4 linked regions of the Arabidopsis thaliana genome follow. The protein of the gene in region 2 interacts with the protein of the main gene of each other region in a biochemical or structural test. Each region holds a gene or a part of one and is shown on either strand. Other genes may lie near its edges. The genes, in order: ATARCA, GG1, AGB1 and FTA.

The links.
Region 1: the proteins of GG1 (region 2) and ATARCA form a complex in vitro, tested with the Arabidopsis thaliana proteins (one study listed by BioGRID).
Region 3: the proteins of GG1 (region 2) and AGB1 form a complex in vitro, tested with the Arabidopsis thaliana proteins (one study listed by BioGRID).
Region 4: of the proteins of GG1 (region 2) and FTA, one has a biochemical effect on the other in vitro, tested with the Arabidopsis thaliana proteins (one study listed by BioGRID).

The regions. Positions count from the first base shown.
Region 1 is NC_003070.9:6,220,280-6,224,742, reverse strand, and holds ATARCA (Transducin/WD40 repeat-like superfamily protein), read right to left. Parts: upstream 2,543-4,463; 5' UTR 2,419-2,542; coding exon 1,537-2,418; intron 944-1,536; coding exon 842-943; 3' UTR 501-841; downstream 1-500. Other genes in the region: AT1G18090 (5'-3' exonuclease family protein), read right to left, coding at 127-204. UniProt on the Arabidopsis thaliana protein: Major component of the RACK1 regulatory proteins that play a role in multiple signal transduction pathways. Involved in multiple hormone responses and developmental processes.
Region 2 is NC_003074.8:23,415,283-23,419,540, reverse strand, and holds GG1 (Ggamma-subunit 1), read right to left. Parts: upstream 2,293-4,258; 5' UTR 2,279-2,292; coding exon 2,045-2,278; intron 1,534-2,044; coding exon 1,481-1,533; intron 1,341-1,480; coding exon 1,296-1,340; intron 1,221-1,295; coding exon 1,136-1,220; 3' UTR 560-1,135; downstream 1-559. Other genes in the region: APG1 (S-adenosyl-L-methionine-dependent methyltransferases superfamily protein), read left to right, coding at 2,539-3,089, 3,184-3,490, 3,567-3,725; AT3G63400 (Cyclophilin-like peptidyl-prolyl cis-trans isomerase family protein), read right to left, coding at 4,106-4,258. UniProt on the Arabidopsis thaliana protein: Guanine nucleotide-binding proteins (G proteins) are involved as a modulator or transducer in various transmembrane signaling systems.
Region 3 is NC_003075.7:16,476,473-16,481,430, forward strand, and holds AGB1 (GTP binding protein beta 1), read right to left. Parts: upstream 3,149-4,958; 5' UTR 2,795-3,148; coding exon 2,689-2,794; intron 2,617-2,688; coding exon 2,522-2,616; exon of another isoform or gene 2,298-2,521; coding exon of another isoform or gene 2,283-2,297; coding exon 1,858-2,282; intron 1,610-1,857; coding exon 1,252-1,609; intron 1,174-1,251; coding exon of another isoform or gene 1,163-1,173; coding exon 1,049-1,162; intron 957-1,048; coding exon 921-956; 3' UTR 559-920; downstream 1-558. Other genes in the region: AT4G34450 (coatomer gamma-2 subunit, putative / gamma-2 coat protein, putative / gamma-2 COP), read left to right, coding at 129-323; SK12 (SKP1-like 12), read right to left, coding at 3,550-4,008; AT4G34480 (O-Glycosyl hydrolases family 17 protein), read right to left, coding at 4,675-4,868. UniProt on the Arabidopsis thaliana protein: Guanine nucleotide-binding proteins (G proteins) are involved as a modulator or transducer in various transmembrane signaling systems.
Region 4 is NC_003074.8:21,942,534-21,946,507, forward strand, and holds FTA (farnesyltransferase A), read left to right. Parts: upstream 1-1,636; 5' UTR 1,637-1,675; coding exon 1,676-1,900; intron 1,901-2,036; coding exon 2,037-2,146; intron 2,147-2,416; coding exon 2,417-2,537; intron 2,538-2,622; coding exon 2,623-2,718; intron 2,719-2,819; coding exon 2,820-3,248; 3' UTR 3,249-3,474; downstream 3,475-3,974. Other genes in the region: AT3G59390 (glycosyltransferase family protein), read left to right, coding at 3,627-3,712, 3,798-3,874. UniProt on the Arabidopsis thaliana protein: Essential subunit of both the farnesyltransferase and the geranylgeranyltransferase complex.

The sequences.
Region 1 (4,463 bases), on a different chromosome or scaffold from region 2:
ACAAAAATGTGTAAGCCCATCATTTAAAAACTTGATTTTTAATGGAGATTTACCCAGAACGATTAACGGAAACTAAAATCGAGAAGGAAATGGAGAACATTAAGAAAACAAGTCGGAGAAAATTACTCGTTTCCCGGCGTATTTCTGGATGTGAATGGGAAGGATATAAGGTTTCATGAATCTGAGAAGGTCCTTGATGCCCATTTCCGATTTCTTATCTTCTTCTTTTTAGGGTTCTTGCGAATTTGTCTTCTTTATTTTTCTTTTTATAGCCTTTTTTGTTTTGTTTTTCCAGTCTAGAGTAAAAAAGCATAAGTAAAAAAAAAAACTTAGCGCGAAAAGGCAATGGCGGGAGTGATTAAAATACGACAGATGCCACATCAGCAGTAATAGCGGCTGTTCGACTTTACCAGTCTATGTGGCGAAATTTCGTTGGTCGAAGGAAGCAGCAGTAATAGCGGCAGTTCATGTCCATTTCCAAAGATAGTATGTTCATGTCTATAACCTTCTTAGTTCGTTGCAAATCAGTAGTTTATTACATGTTAAAAATCATTTGGTTCATCTGTCATATTGGATAAAGTTACAAATTTTAGAGAATTCCGCTATTCCACCATTTCGCTATATTATTAATGGGAATCATTTGCCACAAAATGGGAGAAGTAACTCTAAAAACCAAGATCTCGAACGATAAGATAAAGAAGCAAAAACCTAGATTGACAAGAAAACAAACATCCTTCCAAAAACCTCAAGGTACTTCATGAGTTGTCGATAAAAACATAAGTGATAGATAAAACCAACAAGCAGATAGCAGAGAGCAACGACAGCACAAGTGATGAGATTACTAGTAACGACCAATACCCCAAACTCTAATGACTCCATCGGTGTAACCACTGAAGAGGGTGCTTCCATCAGCGCTCCAGTTAAGGCTTGTGCAGTAAATAACCTGACCCAATCAACAAACAAATTGAATTCAGTCACTTTCCATGGTTATTTACATGTACTATTACACAACAAACAAAGGGCTATGTATCAGGAGAAAAATATTACTACTACTATGATCCTAACAAGAAATGTCAGGTAATCAATGAGTATGGACACACAAAACCATTAAAAGACAACCTTAATTGACAATTTAGGCTCAAACTGGGGCGAAAACACAATTATGGTAATTGCTATATATGGAAGATTAAAACAGATAAAGAAGATAGAGAGCCTAAGTCTCCAAACGGAATGGTAATTCAAGCAAACATAATTGCAGAATCTGAAACTGAAACCAAGTGTAGAAGACCATTTACATATATCATCGTGTAGCATTTGAATAGAATAATCCATGTAAGAAACTTTTTACGAACTTTCACATTTTCAATAACAGACCAACATTACGAATTATGATATACTCAGCTATGGGTAATACTTAATCACAAGTCATAATCAACATCATAACCAACTACAGAAAATTCTTCCTATACAAAAGCTGAAAACTTGTAATCGATTAAAAGCATATGATTGAACCATCATGGGAAAATATTTGTGTACCTTCCTCTTGGTGGCAGCAGGACCACTGTTGTCAGCCTTTTCAGCCTCAGCCTTGAGATCAACCTTCAAATCCTCAACAATGCTCTTGCTCTCAAGGTCCCAAATCTTAATACCATGTTCAGTTGCAGCACAGAGCCAGTACCTGTTGGGACTGAAGCAAAGAGCATGGATCACAGAGTTAGCTTCAAGAGAGTAAAGCTTCTTCCCCTCAGCCAAATCCCACAGCAAAACAACACCGTCTTTGCCTCCACTTGCACAAAGAGAACCATCAGGTGATACAGCCACAGTGCTCACGTAACCGGTGTGACCAGCAAGAGTCGATCTGAGCTTGCAGTTCGAAAGGTTCCACACTTTCACGGTCTTGTCCCACGAAGCAGATACAATCGTCGGCTGAAGCGTGTTAGGGCTGAATCTGACGCAGCTAACCCAATCACGGTGTCCCTCACCACCTTCTGAAATGGTGTACTTGCACTCACCAAGAGTGTTCCACAGCTTGATCGTACGGTCACGAGATGCAGAGACGATCTGACGGTTGTCGAGTGAGAAGGCGACGGAGAGCACGTCCTTGGTGTGTCCAACGAATCTACGAGTGGAGACACCAGCAGCAAGATCCCAAAGACGGAGCTCGCCGTCCCAGCTGCCGGAAAGCGCGAATTGTCCATCGGAGGAGAGAACAACATCCTCAACGAAGTGAGAGTGACCAGTGAGACGCCTCTGAGCTACACCGTAGGCTTTGTCGTCCTTGGTGAGTTTCCACAAAATGATGGATTTGTCGCGGGAAGCTGAGACGATGATGTCTGCGTTATCGATTGGGGTGGCGATTGCCGTCACCATGTCAGTGTGTGCACGCATGGTGCCCTTCAAAACGAGTCCTTCCGCCATTTTCGGTGTCTGGAGATGCCTCTGAAACTAGGGTTTTCGTTTTCTCGGGGGAGGCGGAAATACAAAGAAGAAGGGCGTGAAAAACACAAGAAGCTATTTATATGATAGAAACTAAAAATGGATTAGGGTTCATTTAATATGGGCTCATATTATATATTTATTACTGGGTCTTATGTTAATGGGCTTATCTCAGCCCATATTTGGTGGAAGCGTTCGTAATTTGTTTCCATGTGTAAGAAAGCGTGTTCTCCAATTGGTATGTTCTAAAAGCCAAAAACGCATCCCACTACAGACCTTATTATATGGGCTATGAGTTGTTTAGTTCGGATTTGGAGAGACTGTTTTTGAGAATGATTTCTCGTGTTTTGGTGGATGCTATAAGGAATCCTGTTTTATGGCCAAGACTTGAATCTACGTTCGTGACATAATGGGCACGCTAATTCGAACAAAAGCGTCCCTATTTTTATCGTCATTCAGCGTTTTCATTTTCTGAGTTTGCTTTGATTCGAACAAACAATATATACGTGGAATGAATCATGAATGGCGCACAAATATACAACTTTACATTTATCTTACGTACATGTATATACTCATTTATCGTGGTCATTATTTTTGTATAGGTCAAATTTCTAACAACTCTTTTGTGAAAAAAGCAAAATTTCTTATATGTGGTACAGAGATTGACTAATTCGAGATTACATCAAATATAGTTATCAATCTGGATTGGTTAGATGTAATGTAGTACGTACATCTGCCGAAATAGTATAACATCGTATTGAAATAGCAGAAAATCTTATATAATTGCTGTTTTGGATGTAAATATTATGGATTATAGGAAAGCAATAAAACTTGCTAAAGGGAGAGAAATCTACAAAAAAAACCAGTTTGACTTATATATATACCGTTGTTTTACACTTTAAAAACATTTCCAGCTGTATTCAAAAATATAGTTTTGCAATCTGGATGCATCAAATAAGCCAATCCGAATTTAATAAGTTTGTTCAACAATGATAATTTTCTTCGGCTAAACTTATTTAAAAAGTTCAAACTAGATCTGTTGAGTATTAAATTTATTCGAACAGTGTGAGAGAGATATAGAGGAATACTGTAAATTAATTGATTCACTTAAATAAAAGCGGATCATATCTTTATACAATGGTGGATATGAATTGAAAAGTATTAACACGGTATATACTTGTAGACACTTAAACGACTTTATTGAGTCGAAAAAGTAATTTAGAGAAGTATAAACTCTAAATGTCTTCAAACATTAGAATTAACAATGATACATAACTGAAAAGTACGAAACTAATGGAAATACAAAGTACAAACCATAAAAATTGCATATATGTCACAAGAAAATAAAATAAAAAATCCTACTCAAGATCCATCATCCATGTTTATACACCTGCAACAGACAACACAAAAAATGAAAAGTCATTCTTAAAAGAACTAAAGATAGAGAGAGAGAGAGATAGGGATGGAGAGATGAAGAGCTCCCTTCAATCCAAAGAAGAGTGAAGCCATTAAAGGGGTAAGTGAAAGCTCCTGAGATATGGCATCCATAAAAAAAACCTTATCATCAATTATATTGAATTTGATAAGGCTTATGGGATCCATAGCTTAGCAGCTTTACTTCACCCTGCTAAACCCTCCATTGAACTTCAAGGAGCTCTTCCTCTTCTTCTTCCTTTGTTTTTCTATATAATCGTGTGGATCTGCTTTGACTAACTCATATATTCATACAATCAAAAAACTCTTGACCTTCTTTTAATTGGCAGTTACATGCATCTAACCTAAACCTATGCTTTAAAATATGAACAGCATTAGAGATCCAAGCAAGAAAAAGAGAGACATAATGTTGAATACTTGAGTTAATACAAAACCATTGAAAACTTATATATGGTTCGAAACAGGAGACAATTTGACTCAGAAAGAACCAATGGAAGGATAAAACTTGAAATGAAAAAGCTACTAGTATTAACCATAATATATATAGTGAAAAATCAAAATTATCAGATCTATTATGAAAGATAAAACATAGA
Region 2 (4,258 bases):
AAGCAAGGCGGGAACAGAGAAAAAGGGTTTGGCATTATGTGAGCATGTGAGTGAGGCTATAATGCATGTTTCAATGTTCAGGTTTCATCACGAGGTGAATTGTTTGAATCCCCAATATTTCTGTACTCTCTCTGACCAGATATGCTGCAGATGTTGTAACGTGCTTCTTCCGGCTGCTCAATCATTTTTCTTTTGGACCAACTCACATCTCTGTGTTAATTTCTCTTCTGTTTATATAACAAATTCATACTACAAACTTTGATCAATTTTTTTTTATTTATGGGAGAAGAAGGAGCTCTAATGAGGTCATCAACTTTGATCTTGACCAATGAGGCAATGAAAACAGATGACATACTACTGTATATCCAAAGGTTGTCAGAAAACCCACCTTACCAGTATTTGTTTACTCATCACAAATTTGAGGAATATTTTGGAATGCATAAACTATCTTTTTAGCTGTCGAATAAACTTACCGTAAATCACTTCTACTAATACCCTCTACATTTCTCAATTTTTTTTTTAAACCTCATAACTTGTTTTAATTTTTGAGACATAGAAAGAAAAAAACAAAAGGGGGTTCTACTTTAACAGACTGTAATAATACAGAAGTGGAGGAGAAGAGTAATAAGTAATAATAAAAAGACAACAGATGAGGCATGTGCTCTGTGTTCCATTATCGTTCTATCTATATAATAAACATAGGTATGTATGTATTCTGATCCTCGAAACTAGCGTGTGTGTATCATGGAGGGTGGATGTGGCCAAAAGTTATCTAAAAAGAAAAAAGAGAGACACACTTAACGGTCTTCAAGATTGTACCCACTTCCTCATTAGCTATTACTCTATTAGCCCCCAAATATCACTATGCACATTTCAGCTTCTTTCAACAAGATCTAGAATAAGAAGATGAGAAGCTGTAAGCCTGAAACTCCATTACTCGTATGTCAGATCCGGATCCCATACATTACATATACATATAATACTGTTTACGTAGGTGCAACTAAGCCGTTCTATGCAATTCCAATGCTCATTAATCTGTACGCTTTTTCTCTGCTACAGCCCCATTTTGGATCCCATGTAAAATGATATCCTAGCAAGAAACTAGTATATGTAACACATTACTCTGTCTAGCGAATCAAAGTATTAAGCATCTGCAGCCTTCTCCTCCATTTGGTCCTTCAAACCACCGGTCCCATCCTAAGTTCAAAGGTCCATTGGTTCTGCCAGCACCACAACATCCATCAGTTATTCAGTCCAAACCAACACTAGAGTTTCAAGGTTTAAAAAGCACTCACAGTGGCAACAGAGGATCGGGTCCTTTCTCGATGACAGATAGCAGCCTGCGAACCAAGGGAATATCAATTTGATCACCAATCAACGTACAAGTTTCAGTCAAATCCAGATAATATACCTACAGGAGCTAGCACACAGTTGCTTGCAAGCGTTAAAAAAAAACATAGGTTGAGTATCCCATACTTACTCCTCACACACGGTTGATACAATATCTGTGTTCTCGACCTCCTTCAACTCTTTCTGGATATAGTACATGAAACAGAAAGAGAGAGTAAAGCTATTTTTAGTAAGTGTTAGAGCTCACTAGTAGGAACAATAGGCAAACACATTATCTGTGCAACAGAGAAACTTGGGAGAAGGTTAACTTTTAACATGCCTCGATAGATGATAACCAAGAGAGAATGATACTAATTGGACTATGATCAAAAGTATTCTTGCACATCCCTAAGAATAAGATCAACAGAGAACCATTCCAATAGTGGATCCAAAGAGAACCCAGCAGATTTAGATTTTGGGAATACAATTCATAGAGTCATAAACAAGACTGACTGAAATGGTGCCACTTATTGTCAAGAGAACTACCATGCTCTTCTGATTGGAACAGATCTGCCATACTGGTTTTTGCTTTCACAGGAAACAATCTTAGCGACCTTTACCTAATTGTTGTAACAATTGATCTAAAAAGGATAATTGAGCTATCCACGAGAGACCTACGTCGGAATTTGAAAGAGATACGAGTTAGTTTAGCTACCTCCAAGAAAGCGACTTCCTGTTCAACGCGGGCAAGCTCTGCAAGGATCCTGTGCTTGCCCCCGCCGTGAGAAACAGACTCCTCCTGCTCGTAAACCACAGTTTCCTCTCGCATCCTCTCGCTAGCAGGTCGCAGATCTGACAACGTCAGAGAGAGTCTGGTCTTAGTCCGTACAAGTTTGAATTGTCGTCGAAGTCTCTCTCTCTCTGACTCAAATCGACTTTTCCCTTCCATTTGCAGAAAAATGCCAAAACGCCCAATACTATTATTTGGGCCAATTCTTGCAAATGAGCCCATGGGCTCAACAAAGGGATATGTGTTGTCGCAACAAACAACGTGACCGTACATAAACATGTGGTTGGAGTCAGTACTGACTCTGTTAGAGTTAGAGGGTTTAGTCACACTCTCATTCTCGTTTGTGTTTTTGATTGGCGGAGAATTGGTGATAGATAAGCTTCTTCTTCCCTCTTCTCAACTTGGTGGATCTGTCATCGATGGCCTCTTTGATGCTCAACGGGGCCATTACCTTCCCCAAAGGTTTAGGTTCCCCTGGTTCCAATTTGCATGCCAGATCGATTCCTCGGCCGACCTTACTCTCAGTTACCCGAACCTCCACACCTAGACTCTCGGTGGCTACTAGATGCAGCAGCAGCAGCGTGTCGTCTTCCCGGCCATCGGCGCAACCTAGGTTCATTCAGCACAAGAAGGAGGCTTACTGGTTCTACAGGTTCTTATCCATCGTATACGACCATGTCATCAATCCTGGGCATTGGACCGAGGATATGAGAGACGACGCTCTTGAGCCAGCGGATCTCAGCCATCCGGACATGCGAGTGGTCGATGTCGGCGGCGGAACTGGTTTCACTACTCTGGGCATAGTCAAGACAGTGAAGGCCAAGAATGTGACCATTCTGGACCAGTCGCCACATCAGCTGGCCAAAGCAAAGCAAAAGGAGCCGTTGAAAGAATGCAAGATCGTCGAGGGAGATGCTGAGGATCTTCCTTTTCCAACCGATTATGCTGACAGATACGTTTCTGCTGGAAGGTATCCTTTTCTTCTTCTTCTTCTTCTTCTTCTTCTTCTTCTTATAATCGTCTTCTTTCCGGTGGGTTTGATTGTGTGTCTCATCATCACACAGCATTGAGTACTGGCCGGACCCGCAGAGGGGAATAAGGGAAGCGTACAGGGTTCTCAAGATCGGTGGCAAAGCGTGTCTCATCGGCCCTGTCTACCCAACCTTCTGGCTCTCTCGCTTCTTTTCTGATGTCTGGATGCTCTTCCCCAAGGAGGAAGAGTACATTGAGTGGTTCAAGAATGCCGGTTTCAAGGACGTTCAGCTCAAGAGGATTGGCCCCAAGTGGTACCGTGGTGTTCGCAGGCACGGCCTTATCATGGGATGTTCTGTCACTGGTGTTAAACCTGCCTCCGGTGACTCTCCTCTCCAGGTCTTTTACCTCCCACTTCACCTTTTTTACTTTCTTCTCTCTTTGATACACTAAACTTATCACTCAAATGCTGCAGCTTGGTCCAAAGGAAGAGGACGTAGAGAAGCCTGTCAACAACCCCTTCTCCTTCTTGGGACGCTTCCTCCTGGGAACTCTAGCAGCTGCCTGGTTTGTGTTAATCCCTATCTACATGTGGATCAAGGATCAGATCGTTCCCAAAGACCAACCCATCTGATCCTTCTCTTCTAGGACATGATCATTGTATCATTGTAAACCCCTCTTGTGGTAAAGAAAGATTCGAGTCCTATCTATGAACATGCGGAATATCATTAACCTTCTTTCTTTACATGTATTACTAGATTTTCATGTTGAGATATCTATGCTACTTGTTCGATAAATTTTCTACAAACTTCGATTCCCAAACTCAATTCTGCCAACATATATCAGTCTCAATTTGATCAATGTTCCACGATCTGTAATAATGCAACTAAGGTAGAGTATTATATATCCGACCAACATAAAAAATATCATTACCTATTATTGCTTGCACTAAAACACGGAAATTAAAACAAAAACTCGCAAGTCAGCAGAGAAACCAATGGATGAGAGTGACCATCAATCCGCATAGCTAACCAGACCTCTCTTTCCTGGTGGAGAAGGTGAGTGAGAAGGGCTGAGTGATTCTGCAGGAGAGGTGCGTCCTCCTCTGATGGGGGATCTCTGTGGCCCGAGACGGGATTTCAGGTCTTGGCTAATTGGCTGCCTCTT
Region 3 (4,958 bases), on a different chromosome or scaffold from region 2:
TCTCTTCCACTTTTTTCTCATACTCTACTGAGACTTGAGGGCTAAAATTATTGTTGATAAAGTCTTTTTTGAGTATATGACCATTTGTTGTGTTCCTGAAATTGAAACTGACACTGGATAAATAACAGGGGACGGAGACAATTCCGCTCAATGCAAGGTCACACACGTGTCTATTGTCAGGTGTGTACATAGGCAACGTGAAAGTGTTAGTGAGGGCACAGTTTGGAATGGACAGCTCAAAGGACATTGCAATGAAGCTGACAGTTAGAGCTGAAGACGTTTCTGTCGCCGAGGCCATTCACGAGATTGTTGCCAGCGGCTAAAACCTCTTGCGTTTCTTCAGTATCAGAGAATGTCATCTATTCCTGCTGCTAAACCTCAAAAATACATCAACTATTATAAATAGCATAGTATTACTTTCTTTCTTTTTTCCTTGCATTATTACTGTCAAATACACTATGGAGGTTTTCTTTTTATTTTATGACGGTGCTTTTTGATTTCTCATTTCTGAATTTTATTATTACCCGTTTTCTCGCCAAGTTGGGAATCTACAGATCATCTTGCTCGGATTTGAAAACCACTACCGTACCGTACAACAGGCTAGGCTTTCTCCATAAGTTAGAAACTCAAAAATAGTAGCGTTTTATCGTCTGCGTTCAATATGAAGAGATGATAGTAAAGTAAAGACTGGTGGGTACACAATTGATTACAGAATTCACATTGAGTAGCGTGTTGAAGGAGTTTAGTTCCCAATGAAGAAATAAATAAATCAAAGCACACTACAAAAAGGGAAGTTTAATTCTTCTAACCACTCCACTATTTCAAACCAAACACCTTCCACAAACCGAACCTTACTTCCCGACTACAGAATATATTAACCAACAACTGGAGACGTGACTCCTACTTTCGTTAAATCTTCTTCAAATCACTCTCCTGTGTCCTCCAAACGCCCATATCTGTGTGAATTCAACGAAATTTCATCTATCCTCTAATTTCCTTACAAACATAACATGGTAAATGATAAGCAGAGACACTACTAAGTACTAACCTTTAGATTTGAATCCCAACTTCCTGTACACAAGGCACTTCCATCTGCTGACAACCCCAAACAGCTTATTCTATTCCTGTGTGAATCCTGCTGTAATCCCAAATCCAATACAACCTGCAAGAAAACTCCTCACGTTTCAATCATAAACCTTACATGAGCGAAAACAACTCTCACCACTCATTACTCAAATACTAATTGCTTACCTCTCCCAAGAGGGTATCCCAAACGTAGCAAGTGTTGTTGCTCGCATAGCCAGCGAAAAGAAGTCTCCCTGACACAGAGAATGCAATGGAGGTGACAGGTCCGTTCTCACCATCACCATGTGGCTGATAGACCTGGAGTTGGTGACCAGTCCTTATGTCATACAGCCTGCATGTTCCATCGTCTGATCCAGTCCCAAATCTATACCCATCCGGAAAGAACTTGACCGTATTAACATCTCCCTCGTGACCATGAAAGGTACGCACTGCTCGGCTTGCAGCACGAGTGTCCCACAACCGTGCTGTGGAATCGCATGAACCAGATATAAACCAGTTTGGGTTTGATCCACTGATTGAGACGCTGCAAGAATGGGGAATAATCACCAAGTAAGAGGGCGAGTTTAACTGACTTGCAATATATCATCCATGCTAGCTTTTATACACAAGTCAAATAAACGTATCTATTCAATAAGACCAAACCTATATGTTGATTCCAACACTCGATCCAAATGGTATGGTTCTGGAAGATTAAGTAGTTTTTCAAATATATTCTACTTTATCAAACAAACTGATGCCAATGAGCCAAGGAGATGAAAGCAATATCCATACCTTAGTACATCAGCAGTATGTCCAGACTGAAATTCACCGCCAAAAACAGAAGTTTTGAGACCAGTAGTTACATCCCATAAGATACAAGTTTGATCACCTGAACTGGTGATAAGGTGGGCATCCTCATTTGGGACATACTGACAGCACGAAACATATCCCCTGTGACCAGTGAGCATTCTTGAAACCGGTACAGTTCCATCCTTGTCCGCCGTTGAGCTAAGGCTAAAGATAGAACATACACTGTCTAATCCACCACACGCAACCGACTGACCATTTGGAGAGAAAGCACATGTCATAACCCATGCACAAGGGAGTTTAATAGCATGAGTTTTCTGACTCGTTAGAGCATTCCACACGATTAATCTCCCATCTTGAGATGCACTGACAATCCGGTTCCTCTCCGGTGTCCAATCTAATGAATAAACCTGCAAATCCCACATGTTAAATCAACAACAAGCTAACATTCACAATCAACTCTCCTGTCTCTACATTTCCGTAGGATCTTAAGCAAATCCTCATACATGATAACTGGTAACATCTTATAAACACCACCAACTAAATAACAAACTAGATACAACCCCAAAATGGAAGCTTTTTATCACAGGCTAGAAAACACTCCACAAAGAAGCATGCTTGAAGGATAAAGATGCAAACTTTGAGTCACCTTTCCGGTGTGTCCCTGAAGAGTACGACAACAAACCAGATCCGTTGCTCCGAAGCTCACCCGAGTACGTCCTTGCGCCGCTGAATACCTCGCCACTGGCAAAATTCAATCCAAATTAAAGAAGAAGAAGATGAGAGAAGAAGAGAGACGAAAAGGAATCCACAAACCATCGGTATCGAGGAGCTGGAGGCGTCTCTGTCTAAGCTGGTCACGGAGGTTATTAACGGTCTCCGTAGCGACGGCGTGGCGTTCTTTGAGCTCGGAGACAGACATTCCGGGATCAGACTTAGGCTTCTCCGTCGCCGATCAAATAAAAGGGGGAAACTTTGTGGGGTCTAGAAGAGAAGAAGGTTCATGATTGAGAGAGGGAGATCGAACCCTAGAAAGAATGGATTTGGGGGAATTACGTGGGAAAAGAGAGAGAGATTAAAAAAGCTTGAGAGAAGAATCAGTCAAGACACAAACACGGCTCTCTTGTTGAATGTTGATGATGGCTTCTCTGACCTGAGACTAGCTAGAGAGAGAGAAGAGGGTCAATAGACATTGACTGTTCCCATTAAAGTGGACCCTCTCACAATGATTAAACGATATCGTTTAAGAGCTATGATTGTTTTTGGTTTTGGACGAGATTTTCGATTCAATATAATGAATTTGAAGGATTTTTAACTACATATTTCTTTTTAAGAAACGTAATTTACAGTACAAGAAAAGAGAAAACATGTTAGTTATTTTGCTACGTGAATTTAATTTGTCTAATAGATTCTGTTTTTCTGAATTGGCTACAAGAACATCAATAATCCAATAAAATTAAGATTGTCTCAAGAGAAAATAAAATAAAAACACATTGGTTAAGCATATCAATATCCAACAAAAGATTATCTCAAGAGAATACAAATCAAAAAAAAAAATTTTAAAAAGTAGACGAAGTGATCATCATCTACATTATTGATCAAGAAGTTGCAAAAAAAAAAAAGAACACTAAAAGGAAAAAAGAAAAAGAAAGCTAGTTAGGTTTTTGATTCATGGGCTCATTCAAAAGCCCATTGATTCTCCTTACGAACAGCTTCTTCTTCCTCAGGTGTAAAATCATTCTCAATGTTGAAAGTTGAACGAATCTCCTCTGGAGTCTTGCCTTTGATCATGTCCGCAACAGTTTGGCATGTGAGATCAAACAAGCTTTTTATGTTGAGGTAATTCGCAGCAAGGATGAGTTCAAAGATGGTGGATTGTTCGAGATCCATGAACTTCTCGTCCCACTTGTTGAGATCCTCTTCAGAGATAGGATTAGCCTCGTCGACGTGGTATTTCTTGCAGTACTCGATCACTTTCACAAGAATCTTGCTTTCCACGTTTGCAAGAGGGATTCCATCAGCAACGCAATCGTCTTCAACCATATGCGCTATGGTCTGCGATTGGATTGCTACCGCTTCTTCCACCTCAAACGACTGACCATCGGAGCTCATCAACACGATCATCTTCGAAGACATTGTGTGTTCCTTGTGGAGGAGGTTTTTCACTGTGAAGCAAATTTGATGAAAGATTTAAGAATTTAGAGAGCGAACAAATTGTGTTAAGGTGATGAAGTTGTGAAACCCTATGCGTCTTTGTATTTATAAGCCCTAGCTAGAGTCGGTGAGATCAACCATTCCTTTTTTAAGAAGGAAATAGTTATTTTCCTTAACCGAAGAAAATAAGTAAATTATTTGTCGACTCCTTTTCATAAAAGGTAATTTCAGATGAGTAAACCAAAATAAACCGGGTCAAATTTTCATTTTTTTGTTGTAGGTTCGGCTCAAATCCTTATTTTCAGAAAATGTAAATTCAGTAAAGTGAACCAGCTAAACCGGTTTAAATTTACAATAGGCCCAATTATAAAGGTACGGCGTAAAATGTAACAATTTAAGAGGGATATAGATATACATTGGAATATAGGAAACTTTATCCAAAGATAATATTCAGATTCATTTATAAGAAACCAAAAGAAGTCTAGTAGATATAGCCGTTACAGACTATATAATACAATTGAGATAGAATGTGTGTAACCATTATAAACTAATAACAAACTCGATTACACTTAATACAGAGGAAGGAGAGGAGATTAACAAGTAGGCGTAATTAATTAATTACTTACCTCCAAGAGCTAATTGAGCCATTTACATATATACATGGAAGATAAGGGACAAAAAGATGAGTAGAAAAGATAGAGAAGAAGAGACTTTTGGTTCAGTTGCTCCATTCTTCTTCTCTACTTTGTCTGAGCTCACATACTTGTTCATTACTGCTTTACTTCCTCCTCCTCCTCCTCCTCCTCCTCCTCCTCCTCCCGGATATACGCAATTGTTGTAACCTATCAAATTCAGATTCAAGATAATTAAGAAACCCAATTAGTATAATAAAGCATGTAGAAAACCGATTATTTGGTCAATTAAAGCATTTA
Region 4 (3,974 bases), 1.5 Mb from region 2:
TCGAAGGAAAATATAGTGTATGTGATGCTTTGGTGTATGAAGAGATTTGATCAAGATGAGAGGTATTTATAGTAGAAGCAAACCGTTTACAATAATGTTTTTTCAAACTAAATATCTATTAAGATAAAATTATTAGTTTTTTGAAAGAACCATGATGATGATTATTGCACATGAACGAACCTTTTTTTTGCTTATATATAAAAGCAATTGTACTATTTTACACCTCATGCCCACATAGTATGGGGTGACTGGAGAGGGCTTTAGAGGGTAGCTGTTACTTTATATAAGCTGTAAAGTCTTATACTGTGATTTTTATTTTTTAAAAAATAAAGCTATGACTTAAAAAAAAATATAGTTTTACGAATTTTTACTTTAAAATAAGTTGTAAAGTTATATACATACTGTAAATTTTATTTTAGGAATTTTTTCATATTTTTAAAAAGTACAAAATAAAATATTGTTTTTGTTATTCCTCAGCTCTTGTGAAAAATCATTACTTAATCTTCATTAATCGATTGTTTAGGTCTTATTAATCATGTGTTGAGTTGGGACCATGATTAAGCAATAAGAGTCATTTACCTCCTGTCAAGTATGCATATGCATATACTTTTGGTTGTTGAATATTGTTGGTTGCAAGCAGTACAATCGGGAGAGAAAGGATCGAAAGATCGACAAAGGTGTTGCTAAAGCTGAGGGTGCTGATTAATCAAGGATTAATCAATACGATATCTGAAGCTAAAACTAGAACACCAAAATGTTGATTCATGATCTTAACTCCTAAACATTTCCTTGGTTAATGAAAGAGTTCGTTCATCTTTCAAACCATTGACAATAATAGCAGCTGTCACCTCTTCTTCACCATTACGGGCTTCTTCTTGATGTAATGGTGAATAGTAAGGCCTCTATGCTGTTATACAATGCTTTAAGTACAAGGATTTAAAAAATATTTACAAGCCTTTTTTTAAGAGTTTTAAAAGGATTTACAATGATTTTAAAGGATTTTAAAACTTTTATAATTCCTTTTAAAGTCATTTGAAAACTTTTGTAAATGCTTTCAAAACTCTCAAAAAATTTTTTTTTTTTTTTTTAAACTCTTAAAATTATCCTTGTTGTATATATTATTTAAAGCCTTTTAAACCCTTAAAATATATTTTACAATGGTTTTAAATGATTTATAAGGATTCTAAAATATTGAAAAAATGTTTTAAAAAGGATTTTAAAGTATTTACATGTATATTTAAAAACTTTATAAGGATTTTAATAAGTTTTAAAATGGTTTACAAGAGTTTTTAACAATTTTACAAAGCTTTAAAAAACTTTACTAGGATTTTCTAAGAATTTTTAAAGGATTTACAATGGTTTTTTAAGGGTTCTAAACAAAATTAGAAAGACTTTAAATGCAATTTTTTGGCGGGAAAAAACAGAGAAAATAAAATTTTGGCACTTAAAATTTAGGTGGGTAAGTTTTGGTTTCTAACTACATGTTCTCATTAGATTTGATGATGATTAATTTAGTCATTTTGGTTAAGAAAGTGGTTATTTTTAAAAATGGGCCAAAAAAGGATATCATAGTAGAATTGTGGTTTGGGCTTAAAAGCCCATTACCCCTCCCCTAATTAGTTTTCAACTTTTCATGGAGTCTTCGGTTTTCGACTTTGGATCGGAGTCGGGGAACATGAATTTCGACGAGACCGTGCCACTGAGCCAACGATTGGAGTGGTCAGACGTGGTCCCATTGACTCAGGACGATGGTCCGAATCCAGTGGTGCCAATTGCCTACAAGGAAGAGTTCCGCGAGACTATGGATTACTTCCGTGCGATTTACTTTTCCGACGAGCGATCTCCTCGCGCACTACGACTCACGGAAGAAACCCTCCTCTTAAACTCCGGCAACTACACAGTAATCAATCTTATAATTCATATAATCAACAACTATCTGAACTCTTATGGTTTTGAAATTTGATGGATTTTAGTCTTTTATTGGTCCTTGTTGCTTCAATTTTTAGTCTTACCGATATTTTTGTTTACCTTTGAAGGTGTGGCATTTCAGGCGCCTAGTACTCGAGGCCCTTAATCACGACTTGTTTGAAGAACTCGAGTTCATCGAACGCATTGCTGAGGATAACTCTAAGAACTACCAACTGTGGTAAAGTTCATACCTTTTCACACCTTGTTTGATCTATGTGCTTTTGATCATGAAAGTCTATGAGTGAGTTATACTTTTGAAAATTGTCTGATGAATAATTTTGAATCAATAAATGTATATTCTACTTCTCCATAGATGAAAGTTTGTTCTTGTACACATTGTTAAGTTCATAGTGTCTCATATCTGCTGATTATACAACGTTAAAACCCTTGGTTGTTTGTTTTGAGTTTGATGGTCCATGCTTCTGCTCTATGTTTTCCTTTTCTCTAGGCATCATCGGCGATGGGTTGCAGAGAAACTGGGTCCTGATGTTGCAGGGAGAGAACTTGAATTTACCCGTAGAGTACTTTCACTTGATGCCAAACATTATCATGCTTGGTCACATAGGCAGGTTTGCGATCTCAAACCTTGTTAAAGCATTCACTTGGGGTATCATTGCATATCTTTTTGTTTGATAATATGGAAACAATCTGCAGTGGACACTACGGGCATTAGGAGGATGGGAAGATGAGCTCGATTACTGTCACGAGCTCCTTGAAGCTGACGTCTTTAACAATTCCGCCTGGAATCAGGTAACTTGATCGTTGATACACATACGAAATTCTGTATCTCTAATCTATCAATTGCCGATTCTGTCACCTATTTGTATAATCTCATTCCCTTAATCTGACAGAGGTATTATGTCATCACCCAATCTCCTTTGTTGGGAGGCCTAGAAGCCATGAGAGAATCTGAAGTAAGCTACACAATCAAAGCCATTTTAACCAATCCTGCAAACGAGAGCTCATGGCGATACCTAAAAGCTCTTTACAAAGACGACAAAGAATCCTGGATTAGTGATCCAAGTGTTTCCTCAGTCTGTTTGAATGTTCTATCCCGCACAGATTGCTTCCATGGATTCGCTCTGAGCACCCTTTTGGATCTTCTATGTGATGGACTGAGACCAACCAACGAGCATAAAGACTCAGTGAGAGCTCTAGCTAATGAAGAACCAGAGACTAACTTGGCCAATTTGGTGTGTACTATTCTTGGTCGTGTAGATCCTGTAAGAGCTAACTATTGGGCATGGAGGAAGAGCAAGATTACAGTGGCAGCAATTTGAATATGTGACGCCCCAAAATCACACTTGAAAAAGACTTGATTATTAGTTTTTACGTATGTACTGCTTATTTATGAATCACATGTTCATGTTAACATGTATCAAAACAATCTTGATTTCTCAGTTTCCTTCGCCTTGTGATATTCAGAGAAGCTTTCTCAAGAATGATTTTGCATCACACACTTTGACTAAACGCATTGCTCTCTCGATAACCGGAAGATCAAAACCGAAACCGGGTTTTGGTTTGGCTCGCGGATTTCCCCAATTCAATTTTAACGACAAAACTATACTAATTCATAAGATTAAAAAAAAAGTTTCTGAAGTGGTCGAAGTCGGAAGCGTGATTTGGTCGAAAGATTGGTTCTTTCTCCGACAAGAATTATGTCCAAATCTGGGTTTAGTCTGCTGTTCCTCGTTCTTCTACTTATCATGGGTTTCTTATTTCCGTTGAGAGTTTCTGCAATTAGGTGATTAATTTTGGGTAACAACCATTGCTTCTATGAATTGTCCCGCTTAGTTTCATTTCCTTGAGATTTTCGAATGAATTTGCAGGAAGGATATCGGATTTTTGGAAGAGCGGAGTTGCAGAACAACTGTCCAAGGAAGATACTTGATCTCCGATGATGAAGGTTAGCGATTTCCACTCTTGGAAAGATTCACCTTTTTGAACATTTTGAATCTCTTTCGACTTAGATTTGGTGATCCATGAATGGTTTGTTGTTGCAACTT